Pelodiscus sinensis: one gene and its partner. The protein of the gene in region 1 interacts with the protein of each later gene in a pairwise test. Links are inferred from orthologs where the notes say so. Each region holds a gene or a part of one and is shown in the gene's direction. Other genes may lie near its edges.

Evidence for each region.
Region 2: the proteins of TFCP2 (region 1) and CA1 interact in binary tests that used the Homo sapiens proteins (3 or more experiments, as listed by UniProt). The two-hybrid records come from large-scale screens. The link is inferred for Pelodiscus sinensis from reciprocal best matches to the Homo sapiens genes TFCP2 and CA1.

The regions. Positions count from the first base shown.
Region 1 is NC_134729.1:2,094,211-2,098,126, forward strand, and holds the start of TFCP2 (alpha-globin transcription factor CP2), read left to right. Parts: upstream 1-1,643; 5' UTR 1,644-2,111; coding exon 2,112-2,233; intron 2,234-3,916.
Region 2 is NC_134712.1:46,162,561-46,166,476, forward strand, and holds the start of CA1 (carbonic anhydrase 1), read left to right. Parts: upstream 1-1,169; 5' UTR 1,170-1,291; coding exon 1,292-1,328; intron 1,329-2,645; coding exon 2,646-2,843; intron 2,844-3,897; exon of another isoform or gene 3,898-3,916. UniProt on the Homo sapiens protein: Catalyzes the reversible hydration of carbon dioxide. Can hydrate cyanamide to urea.

The DNA.
Region 1 (3,916 bases):
CTGAGAAACAGCACAGAGTCTATGCACCTTTGGTTTTATTACATTCACACATTAAGTGGGTGTCACATTATAAAGCCAGCTTTCTGTGCGTTTAACACCTCATTTACATCAAAAGCAAAGTACAGGACGCTTCCAGCCCACTCGTTAGCCTCATTAGCACCAGCACTATTATATTATTGATAGACAATTTTCTCCCTGCCACTGACTCTCCACCCAGGGCCATCCTCATGGACAGTGGGTGAACCTCCAGCTAGGGGAAGGCAAGTCCCACCTCCCCCATTCTGGAGCCAAGCCCAGGTTACTGCTCCCAGCCCTCTGAACATGCTAAGACCCCTTAGTCTTATGTTTGGAGCAGGCAATGCAATCCTTTGCCTACGTTACCTCCCCCCCTCCGTGGCCATCCTTACAGTTTATGCTGCCCTAGGTAGAGGAGCAGGGTGGGGGGCTGCACTTAGGGCCGTGGGAGGGGCAGGAAGGGGGAAGTGCTGCAGCATCCTCACTTTTTCATGGGCTCCCTGTTGCCACCAGCCCCTCCATACACAGAATATGCAGCTGCGTGGGGGCACCAGCCCCAAATTTCATGGCACCGTACACAGCTGTGTGTGACACCTAAGGACAACGCTGCCTCCCTCCCAACCTGTAGCGCACCTATTCTCCCTGTCCCCCAAGGTTTGCACCGCCGTCTGTCCTAACCCAGCTCCCGTGCTCCGGACTGAGACCCCTCCCAATTCATTGCACTTATGAGCCGGCGGCCGGTCTCGAACCCGTGGCACTCCAAGGGGCCGGCCTAAGCCATGTCCCAGGAACGCAGAGGGAGCCGGAGCCGGGCCGTACCACGCTGAGCAGAGCGGGGGGGGGGGGGGCTTTTGCGCCGTAACCCCGCTAGCCCCGCCCTGTCCAGAGTGCTTAGCCTATCACCGCGGCGGTGCCGAGGCAACGGGCCCTCCGGTGAGTCGTGATTGGCTGGAGCCCGTTGTGCGTCCGAAGGGGCCTGGGCGCCGCGATTGGCCGCGAGGCAGGGAGGGGGCGGGGCTTGCGCCCGGCTGGGCTGGAGCTGGGGGCTGCGGCGCTGCCGCCGCCTCCATATTGCGGGGCCGGGAGCGGAGGTGGCGGGGTTGCGAGTCGCGCGCGGGGCCGGGCAGCCTGGGCGCCGCTGAGGGGGGAGGGGCCCTGGGGGAGCTGCTCTCTGGGAGGGGGGACTCTGAGGGGGGGGTCCCCAGGGGGTGCTGCTCTCTGGGAGGGGGTGACTCTGAGGGGGGGTCCCCAGGGGGTGCTGCTCTCTGGGAGGGGGGACTCTGAGGGGGGGGTCCCCAGGGGGTGCTGCTCTCTGGGAGGGGGGACTCTGAGGGGGGGGTCCCCAGGGGGTGCTGCTCTCTGGGAGGGGGGACTCTGAGGGGGGGTCCACAGGGGGGTGCTGCTCTCTGGGAGGGGGTGACTCTGAGGGGGGGGTCCCCAGGGGGTGCTGCTCTCTGGGAGGGGGGACTCTGAGGGGGGGTCCCCAGGGGGTGCTGCTCTCTGGGAGGGGGTAACTGAGGGGGGGTCCCAAGGGGGTGCTGCTCTCTGGGAGGGGGGACTCTGAGGGGGGGTCCCGAAGGGGTGCTGCTCTCTGAGGGCGGTTCCCAGGGGGGTGCTGCTCTCTGGGAGGGGGTGAGTCTGAGGGGGGGTCCTGGAGGTTGTCCCCTGAGAGGGGGTGATTGGGTAGGGGGTCCTCATCTCTGAGGACTAGTCTTTCCCTGGAGGAGGCGTGACACTGGGTGCTGAGTTCCAAGAGGTTGGATTCCCCTGGGAACACAGACTCTGGCTCCCTGGGGTGCGGGGAGGGAGCGGCCCCTGAAAAGCGTGCTCGTGGCTGTGGAGGTCCCAGGGAGATAGTATTCCTTGGGTGGGGGTGACTATGTGAGTTGGAGCCCCCTGAGAGAGCGAAATTGTGGGTCCGTGGTGGGGCAGCATCTCCTGGAGGGATTTTCCCCTGTATTGGGATACCTGAGGGGTGTATCTCCTGAAAGGGGTGATGCTGCAGTGAGGGCCTGTGGAGGTTACTCTGCGTCCATTGATTTCTGGAGGGGTTGTACGTTTGCCCCGTGGCCTGAGTCCTGAACCGTTGGGTGAGGATGGCGTGGGCTCTGAAGCTGCCGCTGGCGGACGAGGTGATCGAATCGGGGCTGGTGCAAGATTTTGATGCCAGCCTCTCAGGCATTGGCCAGGAGCTGGGCGCTGGTGCCTACAGCATGAGGTAAGTGAGATCCTCCTCACCATCATGTCTTACACCATGGATTGAGAGGGGTGAGGGGAGTAGAATGTGAGGACCACTGCCTCCTGGAGGACTGCACAGCCCAGGGGTAGTTGGACATCGTGTTGGACTGGGCTGAACAGATAGCAAAGTGTACTACAGATGTCGTGTTGAATGGCTGATAACTTTCTGGTGGATTGATTGGAGCCCTCATGAGGTTGGATAAGATCAAGAAACCAGGTTGTGCAGGAGCCTGTCTTCGGTAGTGATTTGTAACAAGGGGATACCAGACACACACCCACACACACCCCCCAGCGTTTGCTCTGCATGTTACATTTGTGAGCATGAAAGATGACGTGAAAACAGTGACAGGGCGACTTGGAGAGAAGTATAAAACCCAAAGATAAGGTAGAATTTAGAAGAGAGAAAAATGTGTATGAGGAGGACCTGAGGAGTTAGCAGGTGCTGGGAGCCAGAGTTGAGTTCTGTGTCTGAATTCTAACAGTTGGGTTGGATCATGTTATGAGTTTTGTAAAGCCTCAAATGAGAGTTAATGGGGACTGTGTGCTAGGGATGTGAATGGATAACCAGTAACAGGTGAGCCTTACCAGCTCTGGTTAACCAGTGGGCACTGGAGCAACTCCCTGCTCCCCGTGGGCAGGCTGCTCCAGCTTTGTGGGGCCCACCACAGCTGGGAGGTGCACCAGCTGGGCCAGAGCAGTCCCTGTCAGTGGTGATGAGGGGGGGACTCCAGCCCAGATGTCACCAGTGGGGAGGCCACTTGGGCTCCTTTTAATTGGTTAACCGGTTAAACATTAGGTTTAACGGGTTAACCAATTAAAAAGGATTTTACATCCCTACTGTATGCTTCAGGGTGTCATCTGAATGCAGGGTCAGGAAGGATTTGGATTTCAACCCCTTAAGTTCAGCATTGGTTAGATTGGGGGAAGTTCACCTGCCTCTAAAAATATAAAGTATTGGCCATGGTGGAAGGCAGGTTTCCAGGTTGCATGGACTGTTCCTAGAAAGAGGGTATAGTGAATCCATTCCTCTGCAGTCTGGCCTCTTGCTGATATCGGGTTATGGGTAAACCGTCCAGACTTCGGTATGCCATGGGCGCAGCGCTGCAGCAGCATAGCTGCACTGATACAGCTGAAGTATATGTGCTAAAGATGTGCTATATCATTGGGAAAGAGTTCTTCTGTGGGCATTTAAAAAAAAACCAACCCTCCGCAAGCGACAGAAGCTGTGTTGGCAGAAGACGCTCTCCCACCAGTATAACACTGTGCACACGGGTGCATATGTCGACGTAATTTATATACAGCACTTTGAGAGGTGGACTGTTCACATCCCTGAGCAACGTAAGTTTTGCTGACATAGGCTGTAGTCTAGCTATAGTTTAAATCCTGTGCTTCCCCATCTGTTGCTGATTAGGAGACCCTGTCCCATGCAGTCTTTGTTCTGTGCTTTCTCAGCTAATTAGGTTGTGTGAGATCCTCCTTAATCTTGCCCTGAATAATCACCCCGAGGGGAAGGAGAGGTGTCTTTCAGCTCTGGATGATCTGAGCAAAGGCGTTAGTATCTTAAGTCAAGAGTGATGTTGATGAAACAGAGACGGTTCAGAGAAGAGCCATGAAAGTGATTAAAGGGTTAGAAAACATGCCTCAGGGTTAGTTTGTGCAGGAA
Region 2 (3,916 bases), on another chromosome or scaffold:
CAATGTTTAAATATGTTATGTTGAACCTTATTTTACGTAGAAATTGTTACCTTGAAATTCTGTGCTTATTAACAACTGGAAATAAATAAACAGCACAACTATTTAATTATACTGTGGTATGGTGAAGTGCAAGTTTATTATACGTGAAATCCTACAGATAGGCATTTAAAAGCCGGATCCTGCAACTTTTACTCAAGCAAAATCCAACTGGTTTAGCTTTAATAAAAAAAGCAGGATCAGGCCCAAATATTTTATTATAAAAAAAGAGCTTCACTTTTATTGATCTGAAACCACTTGATAGATGGTAGGTTGACACTATAAGCCCATGTTCAGAAAAGCAGTTTAAATTCCATCCCAATTCAGCCCCCCCTTAGCTTGAGTGCTGTCCAGAATAAGGGACAGGATCTTGAATTAGGACCATAATGACTAGATTAATGTTTGAGAGAAATATCTAGATTGTTTATGAATAAACATTTATGGTACAGATTTTCTTGCAGAAAATCCATACAAAGTGGGTCTTGAGAAGGATATCTCAGTGAGGACCTCCCCTCCCTAGAAAACACTACAGACCCTATCCCTAAAATTATTCCCCCACATGTTCAAGTCTGGGACCATCCCTGCTATATTTGGATCCACGAGAGTTGGTCTGGACCTGAATTATTATTAAGAAGAATATTATTTTGCATTATAATTAACACATTTGTTAAACTATTTCAACTGTCTGAGTTATGTATTTTACATTACTCAAAGGTACCAAAGCCAATATTTTAAAAAATAAATGCCTAAAGTTAGGTTCCTGAGTCTATATTTAAGACATCTAAATAAATGTCTGGGATTTTTAAAAATGAAGAACTCTCAGCTGCTCCCACTGAATTCAAAGACAAATTTTGGCCTTGGAGGTTTAATGTGTCAGATACCTTTTGCCAACCTTTAAACAAATACAAGGGTCTAACTTTTAAAATCTTATTGGTCTCTTATAATTTAACATGTTCACTGAATCAAAATGGTAAGGATACATAGACTGTAAACCTCTGTTCTTTTTCTTCCAACCCCCTCTCTCTCTCTCTTTTTCCCTCTTTCTCTTTACCCATTTCTAGTGTCATGAGATCAGGTGACTCTATAAAATCTGATTATAATGTATTGCCAAATCCCTTACTTGGTGATGTATATAAACACCCCAGCCTAACGCAGAAATTCTGTAGTGAAGAAAAGCACTGGCCTCATCCCAGAATCAGCAACTACAGGCACCACCAATTTCTCTTTGAAGACAATATCTTGCAGTTAGAAGAACATGGCAAGTCTAAACTGGAGTTATGAAGGTGACAATGGTAAGAATAACTTTCCCTAATAGCAAACTAATTTAACTGACCAAGATGGGCTCTTTCTTTTCTTTTTTGATAAAAGGAGACATAAATCAGTGATCAGACCATATAGAGTGATACATTTTTTTATATTTAAAGAGGACTAATCTACAACTTAGACAGGGCTACTATAAGATTGGTGCATAACTCACTGGATAACCATTCCGAGAGTAGTTATTAATGGTTCTCAGTCATGCTAGAAGGGCATAACAAGTGAAGTTCTGCAGGGGTCAGTTTTGGGACTGGTTCTGTTCAGTATCTTCATCAATGCTTTAGATATTGGCATAGAGAGTACGCTTATTACATTTGTAGATGATACCAAGCAGGGAGGGGTTGCAAGTGCTTTAGAGGATAGGGTCATAATTCAAAATGATCTGGACAAACTGGAAAAATGGTCTGAGGCAAATAAGATGAAGTTTAATACGGAGATATGCAAAGTACTCCACTAATGAAGGAACAATCAGTTTTGCATATATAAAATGGGAAGTGACTGTCTAGGAAGGAGTACTGCAGAAAGGGATCTAGACGTCATAGTGGATCACGAGCTAAATATGACACTGTGGCAAAAAGCAAACATGATTCTGGGATGCATCAACAGGAGTGTTGTGAGCAAGACATGAGAAGTCATTCTTCCGCTCTACTCTGGGCTGTTTAGGCCTCATTTGGAGTATGGTGTCCAGTTCCGGGCACCACATTTCAAGAAAGATGTGGAGAAATTGGAGAAGGTCCGGAGATGAGCAACAAAAATTATTAAAGATCTAGAAAACATGAGCTATGAGGGAAGGCTGAAAGAATTCAGTTTGTTTAGTTTAGAAAGAGAATACTGATAGGGGACTTGATAGCAGTTTTCAAGTATCTAAAAGGGTGTTACAAGGAGGAGGGAGAAAATTGTTCTCTGTGGCCTCTGATGATAGGACAAGAAGCAATGGGCTTAAACTGCAGCAAGGGAGGTTTAGCTTGAAAATTTGGAAAAACTTCCTAACTGTCAGGGTGGTTAAATACTAGAATAAATTCCCTAGAGAGGTTGTGGAATCTCCAAGACTGGAGATATTTAAGAGCATGTTAGATAGTCATCTGTCAGCAATGATCTAGATGGTGCTTGGTCCTGCCCTGAGGGCAGGGACCGGACTTGATAACCTCTTGAGGTCCCTTCCAGTTCTAGTATTCCATGAGTCTATGATTATTTTTACAACTATTCAAGAAGAAACCACCACAATTTGGGAATTATATATTAAAGCTAAAGTAGCAATTAAGAACTAAATGAGATTATTTGTGTCTGTCTAGGACCTGACCAGTGGCACAAATTATACCCAGTTGCCAATGGAAACCTTCAGTCTCCTATTGACATTAAAACCAAGAATGTAAAAAAAGATCCCTCTCTGGGGCATCTCCATGTCACTTGGAATTTGAGCACCTGCAAAGAGATTGTCAACATTGGACACTCCTTCCATGTGAACTTTGAGGACAAGGATAACCGATCAGGTTAGTGAACAGGGTTCTTTTGTTTGTTTTTACACATTCTTTTTTCTTACCCTTGCCTAGAAACAAAAGCAAATGGACGTTCAGCTCCATAAATACCCATTCAAATGTGCTCCCAGATTTAGAATACTAATGCAGTGATATAACTTTACACTCCATGGAGGATCTGAAATACATCATTTTAAAATTAGGATTTGTTGGCAAGGGCTCTATTATTATAAGCAAATTTAAAATTGGCCAGATTGATCAGATTTTTCCAGGTAGTAAAATATCCACAGCCATGGCTGTGTTCTGGTGAGTTTCCTATGGACAAGACTCTACTCAGATTTGAATTACAGAGTTAGCCTTGCTTTATAAAGGGAAAATAAGGTACTATTTGACTATTCTAATTTGCAAATACTAATACAATTCCCTGAAAGAATTTTCAGGCAAGAAATTCTTAGTGTGATGGTTAAGCAACTGCAGATTTCTATCTGCCAGTAGGACTGAACACACCTTTGTATTTTGGTAATGTACATATCATTGACGGTGACCTACAACATCACTAACAAGAACATTTTAGCTTAGCTTTAAAATATGGGTAAAACTAATATGTTAGACTCAGAGTATCTTATGTGCATTACTAGTTTTTCTTCTTGCACAGAAAGGCAATTAAGATCTATAGTGGCAGAGTCTCTTCTGCCCGCAGAAGGAATGGATTGGGTGATCTAATAGGTTGTTTCCATCTCTCACTCTTGGAATACTAATCCTGTATCTAGTGAACTGCTGCTACTGTATGTTTCCCTGGTTTTTGTTTCCTTGCTTAAGGAATTAATAGTCTCTGTTCATGTATGGTTTACATAAATGTTTGGGTTGAATTTGACAGGCATGCTGTTTTACTATAACTAAGCCATAATATGTACATATCACAGTTTTTATTTCTAAAGGCTTGCATTAAATCATGAACAATCTTATTTTTAATTTTCAAATAAAAATTACATGTTACGGTAGATTAATAATAGAGCTAATATTCTGATTGTCTATATGTTGGTAAGAAAGTTTTTTGATGTGATGATACCTGTGCTGTCTGTCTCCAA